Saccharomyces cerevisiae S288C: one gene and its partner. The protein of the gene in region 1 interacts with the protein of each later gene in a biochemical or structural test. Each region holds a gene or a part of one and is shown in the gene's direction. Other genes may lie near its edges.

Region 1 (9,480 bases):
GGGCAACGCCACCGCTATCCTTGGTGATTCCTTCTTGAGAAACGCCTACGTGGTCTACGATTTGGATAACTACGAGATTTCCCTAGCTCAAGCCAAGTATGGCACGGGGAAAGAGAACGTCGAAGTCATCAAATCTACCGTTCCCAGTGCAATAAGGGCCCCCAGTTACAACAACACTTGGTCTAACTACGCCTCCGCCACGTCCGGTGGTAATATTTTTACCACCGTGCGCACTTTCAATGGCACCAGTACTGCCACCACTACGAGGTCAACCACCACCAAGAAGACAAACTCTACCACTACTGCAAAGTCGACTCATAAAAGCAAGAGGGCACTCCAGAGGGCTGCTACCAACTCCGCTTCCAGTATACGCTCTACCTTGGGTTTACTGCTAGTCCCCTCCTTACTCATCCTTTCCGTTTTCTTTTCGTAAAAAAAAACAATAGACACTATATATAGACACTTTTTCCTTTCCTTCTTTGCGCGATTTCAAGAGGAAAAGCATACTTAAATAAGAATATTCCTAAAACACACGTTCTGACGCGTCAATTAGATCGTCAGACCTTGCATGCAGCCAAGACACCCTCACATAGCACTGCCTCCTTCCTCCTCTTTTCTGTCACCACCTCACCTCCCTCGTCCACTCAACTGAGTGGCTTTTCGCTCCTTTTATACTGCGCCATGAGTAGTTTTCGTTTCACTGATGTGTCCGAAAAAATTGAGGTTTCATAAAAAAATTCGTGGACTTATTTATGGAGAAACAGGGAAATCCGACTACTTAAGAAAAGGGTGTCAAAGAGGATTTACTTTTTTCCTTCTTTTTGCATTTGTTCCTATTTCCGCAATTGGACGGTTATTAAGAAGAACGCAATTGGCTTTTCTGTATATTAAAATACATAGCGTAATAAAAAGATAAGGTGAACACCAAGCATATAGTATAATATTACCTACCACATATGAAACTGAAAACTGTAAGATCTGCGGTCCTTTCGTCACTCTTTGCATCGCAGGTTCTCGGTAAGATAATACCAGCAGCAAACAAGCGCGACGACGACTCGAATTCCAAGTTCGTCAAGTTGCCCTTTCATAAGCTTTACGGGGACTCGCTAGAAAATGTGGGAAGCGACAAAAAACCGGAAGTACGCCTATTGAAGAGGGCTGACGGTTATGAAGAAATTATAATTACCAACCAGCAAAGTTTCTATTCGGTGGACTTGGAAGTGGGCACGCCACCACAGAACGTAACGGTCCTGGTGGACACAGGCTCCTCTGATCTATGGATTATGGGCTCGGATAATCCATACTGTTCTTCGAACAGTATGGGTAGTAGCCGGAGACGTGTTATTGACAAACGTGATGATTCGTCAAGCGGCGGATCTTTGATTAATGATATAAACCCATTTGGCTGGTTGACGGGAACGGGCAGTGCCATTGGCCCCACTGCTACGGGCTTAGGAGGCGGTTCAGGTACGGCAACTCAATCCGTGCCTGCTTCGGAAGCCACCATGGACTGTCAACAATACGGGACATTTTCCACTTCGGGCTCTTCTACATTTAGATCAAACAACACCTATTTCAGTATTAGCTACGGTGATGGGACTTTTGCCTCCGGTACTTTTGGTACGGATGTTTTGGATTTAAGCGACTTGAACGTTACCGGGTTGTCTTTTGCCGTTGCCAATGAAACGAATTCTACTATGGGTGTGTTAGGTATTGGTTTGCCCGAATTAGAAGTCACTTATTCTGGCTCTACTGCGTCTCATAGTGGAAAAGCTTATAAATACGACAACTTCCCCATTGTATTGAAAAATTCTGGTGCTATCAAAAGCAACACATATTCTTTGTATTTGAACGACTCGGACGCTATGCATGGCACCATTTTGTTCGGAGCCGTGGACCACAGTAAATATACCGGCACCTTATACACAATCCCCATCGTAAACACTCTGAGTGCTAGTGGATTTAGCTCTCCCATTCAATTTGATGTCACTATTAATGGTATCGGTATTAGTGATTCTGGGAGTAGTAACAAGACCTTGACTACCACTAAAATACCTGCTTTGTTGGATTCCGGTACTACTTTGACTTATTTACCTCAAACAGTGGTAAGTATGATCGCTACTGAACTAGGTGCGCAATACTCTTCCAGGATAGGGTATTACGTATTGGACTGTCCATCTGATGATAGTATGGAAATAGTGTTCGATTTTGGTGGTTTTCACATCAATGCACCACTTTCGAGTTTTATCTTGAGTACTGGCACTACATGTCTTTTAGGTATTATCCCAACGAGTGATGACACAGGTACCATTTTGGGTGATTCATTTTTGACTAACGCGTACGTGGTTTATGATTTGGAGAATCTTGAAATATCCATGGCACAAGCTCGCTATAATACCACAAGCGAAAATATCGAAATTATTACATCCTCTGTTCCAAGCGCCGTAAAGGCACCAGGCTATACAAACACTTGGTCCACAAGTGCATCTATTGTTACCGGTGGTAACATATTTACTGTAAATTCCTCACAAACTGCTTCCTTTAGCGGTAACCTGACGACCAGTACTGCATCCGCCACTTCTACATCAAGTAAAAGAAATGTTGGTGATCATATAGTTCCATCTTTACCCCTCACATTAATTTCTCTTCTTTTTGCATTCATCTGAAAACCGTTGCACAAAGTTTAGACATTCACATCTCCAAGCCAGTTGGAGTTTCTGGCGGAAATCGTTGCTCTCGCTTGGGCAAAGTTTTTTTTTATTATTAATTTTTTATTGTTACGTTGGCGGTCTTCATTTTTACTTCACAATAGTTTATCTTACCCACTAAGAATAGGTTACCATTTATTCACATTTTTTTTTCTCATTCCTAGTATACTATTTACCTGGGATATGGCCTATAATCAAAGGCTTTAATATTCTAATAATTCGTTTGGCATCTAGAATAATCTATAAAGTATAGTCTATATACGTACATATTGATAATGGCGGTAGCTGCTGAACTAGTATTTCAAATTACCTTGTTTATCCCAGGTCGCCAGTTTCTCTCTCCTCAAGTGATATTGTGTTCGTATGTCCAGATAATTTTTGATGAACTGATCCAGGTCATCGGCTGAGTCAATGGACCTTGTGGTAGTTTCTAGCTGTGAACTCTCCTCATCAAGTTTCTTTGTGTTTTGTTCTAATTTCTTTTTTAATGCTATGTCACCATATTTTTTTGAAAATTCGGAATGGTAATCTTGCCAGCTAGCTACATATTTGGATTCTAAAATCCTACAGTTTTCTAATAAGGCTTGGACCTTATCTTTTTGCTCATGTAAATCTTCAAAATTTTCTTCCAATTGTTTAAATTGATCTCTGAATGCATGAATCTTTCCAGCAAAGTCCGTTAAGGGATTGAATTTTGTGACGTATAACTCTAATTGGTGTCTGTGGGTTTGAATTAGATCGATTATCTCCTTTGATGATAAAAGGTTAATTCCTTCAGGTAAGGGAATATTTTTGCTTTTTTCGTTTACTTTTTCTGGTAAACCCGGAGATGGTACCACATCCATTTCTGCTCTGATAATATCTAATCTGCTTATATTGAGCCCCTTATTTTTCCTTCGTTGTTTTATCCTTAGTTTTGTAGCCTTTACTTTCATATTTCCTTCTTTTCAGAACGCCTATTCTAGGGAAAAATGGCTTCTGTATGAAATAAAAATGTTAGCAAAAGAGAACGAAAATAAGAACACATACACTATATTTGCCCATTTGAGCGCTATCGAATATGAATGGACTTAGAGTTGCAGCAAAAATTCAGCCAGCACGCCAAACTATCATATTCTTGCATGGATTAGGTGATACAGGTTCGGGATGGGGATTTTTAGCTCAGTATTTACAACAGAGAGACCCTGCCGCTTTCCAGCATACTAATTTTGTTTTTCCTAATGCTCCAGAGCTTCATGTGACAGCAAACGGCGGTGCATTGATGCCTGCTTGGTTTGACATCTTGGAATGGGATCCTAGTTTTTCCAAAGTTGACAGTGACGGTTTTATGAATTCTTTGAATTCCATAGAAAAGACGGTTAAGCAAGAAATTGATAAAGGAATTAAACCGGAGCAGATTATTATCGGAGGTTTCTCTCAGGGTGCCGCATTAGCTCTCGCAACATCAGTTACTTTACCATGGAAAATCGGTGGTATAGTAGCTCTGTCGGGATTTTGTTCCATCCCAGGAATTCTGAAACAACATAAGAATGGCATTAATGTAAAGACACCAATTTTTCATGGGCATGGTGACATGGATCCAGTAGTTCCTATTGGACTAGGTATAAAGGCAAAACAGTTCTATCAAGATAGCTGTGAGATACAAAATTATGAATTTAAAGTATACAAAGGTATGGCCCATTCTACAGTTCCAGATGAATTAGAAGACTTGGCTTCATTTATCAAGAAGAGCTTATCATCATAGCTCTTTTCCTAATATTGCGAGTTCAATTTAACCGCTATTATACTTGGTTAAATAATTTATATACATCCGTAAGACGCGATAGAAAATTAAAAACCTTGGTGCCAAATAGTTGGGGTGATGAGACTCATTGATTATGCAAGTTCATAATAGATAGACAAACTTGAGCTAAAAGTACTCTACTATTGCCAGCATGGACACTTTAGAGCCAACAGCCGTTGATACGCATGTTTCTGCGGAGCAGATTCTGCGGGATGTGTACAAGAAGGGGCAAAAAGCAAGAGGATCGACTAATATTGATATATTAGACTTGGAGGAACTTCGAGAGTATCAACGAAGGAAGAGAACAGAATATGAGGGTTATTTGAAGAGAAACCGACTGGATATGGGACAATGGATTCGTTATGCGCAATTCGAAATCGAACAACACGACATGAGGCGCGCCAGATCTATCTTTGAAAGAGCATTATTAGTAGATAGTTCATTCATCCCCCTTTGGATACGATACATTGATGCTGAGCTGAAAGTCAAATGTATTAACCATGCTAGGAATCTTATGAACAGAGCTATTAGTACGTTGCCCAGAGTAGACAAGTTATGGTACAAGTATCTCATTGTCGAAGAGTCGTTAAACAACGTTGAAATTGTACGATCACTGTACACCAAATGGTGCTCCTTGGAGCCAGGGGTTAATGCATGGAATTCTTTCGTGGATTTTGAAATAAGACAGAAAAACTGGAACGGTGTAAGAGAGATTTACTCAAAATACGTCATGGCTCACCCGCAAATGCAGACATGGCTAAAGTGGGTGAGGTTTGAAAATAGACATGGTAATACTGAATTTACGAGAAGTGTGTATTCTTTAGCGATAGACACAGTAGCTAACCTCCAAAATTTACAGATTTGGTCTGATATGGAGGTTGCAAAATTAGTAAATTCATTTGCTCATTGGGAAGCTGCGCAGCAAGAATACGAAAGATCTAGTGCTCTTTATCAAATTGCTATAGAAAAATGGCCCTCCAATCAATTGCTCAAGGCAGGACTGTTGGATTTTGAAAAGCAGTTTGGTGACATAAACTCAATAGAAGAAACTATTAGCTATAAAAGGAAAATGGAGTATGAAACAATATTGAGTAATAACGCCTATGATTATGACACCTGGTGGCTGTACTTGGATCTCATTTCAGAAAGTTTCCCCAAACAAATAATGCAAACTTTCGAGAAAGCTATTGTGGACAGCCGACCAAAAGAACTATCAAAAAATGTTCAGTGGAAAAGGTATATTTATCTGTGGATGAGATATATATGCTATGTTGAGTTAGAATTGGAAAATTCGCTTTTAGAAGAAGAACTTTTTCAGAGGTTAATTGACGACATCATCCCTCATAAACATTTCACTTTTTCCAAAATATGGCTAATGTATGCTAAATTTCTGATACGACATGATGATGTACCGAAGGCGAGAAAAATTTTGGGTAAAGCAATCGGTTTATGTCCTAAGGCTAAAACTTTCAAAGGATATATCGAGTTGGAAGTGAAGTTGAAGGAATTTGATCGTGTGAGAAAAATATATGAGAAATTTATTGAATTTCAGCCCTCTGATCTACAAATTTGGTCACAATATGGAGAACTAGAAGAAAATTTAGGAGATTGGGATAGAGTAAGAGGTATATATACAATTGCACTAGATGAAAATTCTGATTTCTTAACAAAGGAGGCTAAAATTGTATTACTTCAAAAATACATAACATTTGAGACAGAATCACAAGAATTTGAAAAGGCAAGGAAGCTTTATAGAAGATATTTGGAGCTCAACCAATATTCCCCCCAAAGCTGGATCGAATTCGCCATGTATCAAACTTCAACCCCGACGGAGCAACAACTATTAGATTTAGCAAAACTGCAAAGCGAAAATGTGGATGAAGACATAGAGTTTGAAATTACCGATGAGAATAAATTGGAGGCAAGAAAAGTTTTTGAAGAGGCGATAGTTTTTTTCAAGGAGAAGGATGATAAACAAGGGAGACTGTCTATTTTGGAAGCGCTAAAAGACTATGAAGAAACTTACGGTACTGAACTCGATCAAGAAACCGTCAAGAAAAGATTCCCTAAAGTAATCAAAAAAGTGAGGTTACAGAACGGTGTGGAAGAAGAATTCGTGGATTACATTTTTCCTGATGATATCGATGATGACAAGCCAAAACCATCAAAGTTCTTGGAACTAGCCAAAAAATGGAAACAGGAACAGGCACTTTGAATAAAGGTAAGGGTATCGTGAAATAATATTTTTGTCATTGTAGTTCAGGCCGTAGAAACTAAACAGTAGTAGAATAAGCTAGTAAGTAAATTAAATATCAAAAGTTAATAATAACCAGGAAGGCAAAAAACCAACAAAAAAAGGAACTATGCAAAATAGAGACTACATACCTTCAACACAAATAAAAAAAAATGCAGATATTGTATAATGGGAGTGTATTATAATCCGGGAGGCCCTTGCAGTCCCGGAGGTGTAGGTTTGTTAATGTCATTGCCCATGTTATTAGAAAACCCTGGAGGACCGCTTAGGCCAGGAGGAGGTGCAATTGAGGATTGTACCGTAGTCATACCGGGAGGTGGAGGTAGCGAAAATTTCGGTTGTTCCGACTCTGGAGGGCTTTGTAATGGGGGAGGGGCGATTCCTGGAACTCCGGAACTAAAGCTACTTGATGTTAGGCCGGGAGGGGGTGTAGGCGTCACGTTTTGAGCTTGCCTCGAAATATGTGACGCAGGAGGTGAAGGTGATGGTGCATAACGTGAAGAAGCCGGAAATTTTAAAGGAGGTTCCGTCGAGTTATTGTCATAACGAGATCTTTTTGGTGCTTGAATTGGATGAGTATTGCTATTATAGTGTACGTCATTGCTCTGTATTGGCGCAGAATTATTTACCGTGGCGTTTCTGTCAAAACGGCTCATTCTTTGAGACGATGAGTTACAGTCTCTACTGAAATGTCCAGTTTGTCCACATATTTTGCAAACAATGCCCTGTATATTTGGGATTTTTCTGTTTGGACAATCGTACCTTTTATGATCTTTTAAACCACAGATTGGACAGGGCCTGTTATCTTCTCTTAAAGTACCATTAAGTTCCGCCAATTCTCTCAGTTGTCCTCGTTTCAAGTCATTCTGGCCTTCCGGAGATGTCACCGCTTTGATAACAATGTTTTGACAAACTTTTATACCTTTTTGGATCTTGTCTTCCGAGTCTGCGATAATTAAACAGTGCAAGGGGTCCTCAAAGTTCATGGCGCCTGGAGGTAAGTCACTTGCATTCTTACCTTCTTTGACTGAACCTCTTCCTCTAATTGCAATCTTACAATTCGAATCTTCTTGCAGCTTTCTTAACGTACGTCCACGAGGACCTAATAATAAACCAACAAAATTGACATCAGGATACTGATCCACCGGGATATAATACTTGTCCTGAAATTTGGTAGGTCTCTTGTAATCATCCGGAGGAACGAAGTAAGGGATGGTCTTTAGGGCTATCTCAACAAGTTTAATACGTTCATCCTCTAGTTTCTTTCTATACCTCTGCTCACGGGTATTCGTTCTTTTACCTTGGGCATCATAAACTGGTGGCGGAGAAGGTGACCTATTTTTCCTGGAGGGGGGCACAAAATCGTTCGTACGCAGTTTGATGGTAATTTCTTGAATCCTAAACATGACTTGATAGGAGTATATTTGTTCCCTAGTTAGGGCCCCACTAATTTTTGATGGAAGAGAATTGAATCGATGGACATCGCTTTCTACCGTGTTCTTTCTCCATAACGAAAGGTTGACGTTTGGAGGAACCTTTGCTTTTTTTTCTTCCATACTGCTTCCTTTTCTATTTTCAAAGTATCTAGAGTTAATCCTTCTAAAACTCATCAACAATTTCCTTTTATTGTGGGATAGAATAGCACTTGTAGCAAATTAGGGAAAAAATTCTGCTTTGAAAATTTCCGCTTGGTGAAATTCAGCAGAAAAAGAAAGAAATCAATAATGCTAATATCGTTAAAAGTGAGTTAGAATGTTATATACAGATAATAGCGGTGCGAGATACACAGCAATTTATGTCACATACTGTTTTGTGGGCAGTCCACGAACGTAAATTGAACCTTTTATTTGTGCTGTATACAAGAAGGCTAGATTTTTGCTAACATATCCGTAACCAATTTTTTGACAGTATCAAAAAGTTCGGAAGGCGTACCATCGATAATAGTTTCTGCATCATTGATTTTGCGGACTGCTACTTTTTCATTTATGACAAGTGTACCTTCCCCTTTAAATTCTGCAATGTAGTTTTTCTCTGTGAGAAGTTTCTTTAATTGTGCTAACCTAACGTCACCGATTGACAACGCACCTGTTTTATGGCTCCTAGATGAACCGTGTAATGGTTTCAAGACTAGTTTACTCCTTGACGCTGTTTTTTGATGATTGTTCACTTGCGGTAGGCTCTCCTTAACCAGCCTGCCAACGACAGTGGCAACTGTATAACTATCACTGATACGTTGCCATTTCAAAAGGTTATCGAGGTTGGAGTCAATGGAGATATCCAGGGTCTTTATTGTTGTACTGAATTCCACTATCTTATTTAATGGCATGTTGACCACTTCAATATTTTTCTTGATAAGTTTTGCCGTAATTTCTTCATTTTGAATCTGTTTGGGGGCGGAAAGAACTATTTTTCTAGATTTTAGCGATGGCCATATAATAGATGCAGACCTTTGATCAACTAAACTCTGTAAATTTAGGATTACTACGGAGCATTTCAATTGGACATTTACAGTTGAGATTGTTCTTTTGGAGAGCGTTTTGTCTATCTTTAAATAGTCAAGGTTATCAAAATTTTCTGCTTCTCCGGTTCCAGAAAATCCCGAGTAACGAGAAGCACGGTGTTTGCTCCTTTTGCTAATTGGATCACTCATATTATAACCATCTTCTTCTTCATTTTTGTTATCTTCTTCGTTTACAGGGCTCGTGGTTTTAGCACCGTCTTTGAGAGGTCTTTTC
Region 2 (3,235 bases), on another chromosome or scaffold:
CTTCAAGAGTAAGTAGTGAAGAACCCCACTAGACAAATACTAAGGGATGCTGCAACCACGTCTTATACTTCACCCATACATAACATTGGAATCTCATTAATTTTTGCAAAGATATGGTGAACAAGTTTCAAAATAAGAATGTATGTGTACCGAATCGTAGCTCGAGGTAATAATGAAAAAAAAAATCGGACATCTGGAAAGTTACGAATATAGAAGCAGATACCCCTCTTGACGGCAAACATTGTGTGCTCGACCTTCTATCCCGTTAAAATATCATAATAAACAAACCCCTCCCGCGAAAACAAAAAAAGAGAGCTAAAAAAAGTACTTCTTCGCGTTATAGATGGTGCCGCACCGTACGTCATAACTAAAAATAGCGTTAGCCACAGCTCCCTGAACGAAAAGGGCCCTTCGGCCCGATTGGAATACGGGTCCGCTTACGTCTGTGCGTGCGGGTTGTCCCACAACGGTAACTTACTCCAGGAGAGCCATCTCGAAGGTGCCACAAAAGAAAACAAAAAAAACAACAAACAATAAGCTCTGTGGTTCACGTTCAATGTAGTGTTTTTTCACCTTTTAATTTTGATAATTTGTGGTGCAGAAAAAAAAAAAGCAAACAAACAAAATCTCAATTATTTAAAGGACGATCTTAACGTTTCTTTCTTTCGCTATCTTCCTTGAATTTTTTTTCTGTCTGAAGTAAAATATCCCGTAACAAACTAATAAATACTACGAAAGTCTCAAAAAACAATAATGAAATTCTCCACTGCTTTGTCTGTCGCTTTATTCGCCTTGGCTAAGATGGTCATTGCCGATTCCGAAGAATTCGGCCTGGTGAGTATCCGTTCCGGCTCGGATTTACAATACTTGAGTGTTTACAGTGATAACGGCACTTTGAAACTTGGCAGCGGTAGTGGCTCATTTGAGGCAACTATTACCGATGACGGTAAACTGAAATTTGACGACGATAAGTATGCTGTTGTCAATGAGGATGGCTCATTCAAAGAAGGTTCTGAGAGCGATGCTGCCACTGGTTTTTCTATTAAAGATGGCCATCTAAACTACAAGAGCTCTTCTGGTTTCTACGCTATCAAGGACGGGTCGTCTTACATTTTCTCTTCTAAGCAATCCGACGACGCTACCGGTGTTGCGATTAGACCAACTAGTAAGAGCGGATCTGTTGCAGCAGATTTTTCTCCAAGCGACTCTAGTTCCTCTTCATCTGCTTCTGCTTCGTCTGCTTCCGCATCATCTTCTACAAAGCATAGTTCGAGTATAGAATCTGTCGAGACCTCTACTACTGTGGAAACTTCCTCTGCTAGCTCCCCAACTGCTTCAGTTATCTCTCAAATTACTGATGGACAAATCCAAGCTCCAAACACAGTTTACGAACAAACAGAAAATGCAGGTGCCAAGGCTGCCGTCGGCATGGGTGCTGGTGCTCTAGCGGTCGCAGCTGCTTACTTGTTGTAAGTACGAGAACAAAACCTGCATGTTTTATTTCCTTCAATATAGCTTTCTACATAATGATCACTTACATATAGCGTAATGTAATATGAAATGGCCCATAATATTCTCTTACATTGTCCTCCTACCTACATTCCTTTTCTTGCATGCAGCTCTCACATTCCCCGATTCGCTTGAAAAATTTAAACTTGTAGAAAAGTAGGTGAATGTCCCGCCGGCGGTTTCTCTGCTGCATGTAGAAAGATGGATATACAGAAAAGGAGATAAGAGTAGCTATCTCAAGTTTGTTCCACTGACTGCTAATACGCATAGAGTTGTTATTTATTGTACATATTCGAAAAAAAGCAAGAAATCACTACGGTGACCTCAGTAGAACGAACTAATAAGTCAAACCAAATTAACCGTTTCCAGGCTGATAGGAGAATACAAGAATGTCTGAAAGAAAAGCTATTAACAAGTACTATCCACCGGATTACAACCCACTGGAAGCTGAAAAGCTATCCAGGAAAATGGCTAAAAAACTGAAAACCATGAATAAGAGCCACGCATCGATTAGATTAATGACCCCATTTAGTATGAGGTGTTTGGAATGTAACGAATATATTCCCAAAAGCAGAAAATTCAATGGTAAGAAAGAGCTACTGAAGGAGAAGTACCTGGACTCCATTAAGATATATAGACTAACCATTTCATGTCCACGTTGTGCCAATTCCATTGCATTTAGAACAGACCCCGGTAATTCAGATTATGTAATGGAAGTGGGGGGCGTAAGAAACTATGTCCCTCAGAAACCAAATGATGACCTGAACGCTAAAACAGCTGTCGAAAGCATAGACGAGACACTGCAACGCTTAGTGAGAGAGAAGGAAATGGAGCAGAACGAGAAGATGGGTATAAAGGAGCAAGCAGATGACAAAATGGATTTGCTGGAAAAAAGACTAGCCAAAATTCAACAAGAGCAAGAGGATGATGAGGAACTTGAAAATTTAAGGAAAAAAAACCTTGAAATGAGCCAGAGAGCTGAAATGATAAACCGCAGCAAACACGCACAACAAGAAAAAGCAGTAACGACTGATGATCTGGACAACCTCGTAGATCAGGTATTTGACAATCACAGGCAGCGTACCAATAAACCTGGCAATAACAACGATGAGAAGAGAACTCCGTTGTTTAATCCTACATCCACTAAGGGAAAAATACAGAAGAAAAGCTCTGTGCGTACGAATCCGTTAGGGATAGTTATAAAACGAGGAAAGTCTCTCAAATGACCTAGAAAAGTAAGGAACGTACGATTGGTATCATGATCTCTTGTGATGCTGTGCTACTGTGGTTGCTTCCACACTATAGCGTCCATCGCTACTTACGAGGGGCGACAGCCCCTTCGGACTTCGAAGTGTCTGGCCGTTTTTTCATTGAATTTTCTTATAAATGAATACATATCGGAAAAGCCATTGTTGACTAAAGCAAGCCAAAGCCACACAAACCGAGGACAAATAGAAAAGCATGGCTCCGTATCCATACAAAGTGCAGACGACAGTACCTGAACTTCAATACGAAAACTTTGATGGTGCTAAGTTCGGGTACATGTTCTGGCCTGTTCAAAATGGCACCAATGAGGTCAGAGGTAGAGTTTTACTGATTCATGGGTTTGGCGAGTACACAAAGATTCAATTCCGGCTTATGGACCACTTATCACTCAATGGTTACGAGTCATTTACGTTTGATCAAAGGGGTGCTGGTGTTACATCGCCGGGCAGATCGAAAGGTG

Evidence for each region.
Region 2: the proteins of CLF1 (region 1) and YJU2 form a complex in vitro, tested with the Saccharomyces cerevisiae proteins (one study listed by BioGRID).

What each region holds. Positions count from the first base shown.
Region 1 is NC_001144.5:379,697-389,176, reverse strand, and holds CLF1 (Clf1p), read left to right. Parts: upstream 1-4,642; coding exon 4,643-6,706; downstream 6,707-9,480. Other genes in the region: YPS3 (aspartyl protease), read left to right, coding at 1-433; YPS1 (aspartyl protease), read left to right, coding at 957-2,666; ESCRT-I subunit protein SRN2, read right to left, coding at 3,002-3,643; TML25 (palmitoyl-(protein) hydrolase), read left to right, coding at 3,769-4,452; mRNA splicing protein MSL5, read right to left, coding at 6,925-8,355; cleavage polyadenylation factor subunit CFT2, read right to left, coding at 8,613-9,480. UniProt on the Saccharomyces cerevisiae protein: Involved in pre-mRNA splicing and cell cycle progression. Required for the spliceosome assembly by promoting the functional integration of the U4/U6.U5 tri-snRNP particle into the U1-, U2-dependent pre-spliceosome.
Region 2 is NC_001143.9:260,379-263,613, forward strand, and holds YJU2 (mRNA splicing protein YJU2), read left to right. Parts: upstream 1-1,898; coding exon 1,899-2,735; downstream 2,736-3,235. Other genes in the region: CWP1 (Cwp1p), read left to right, coding at 754-1,473; YJU3 (acylglycerol lipase), read left to right, coding at 2,971-3,235. UniProt on the Saccharomyces cerevisiae protein: Part of the spliceosome which catalyzes two sequential transesterification reactions, first the excision of the non-coding intron from pre-mRNA and then the ligation of the coding exons to form the mature mRNA.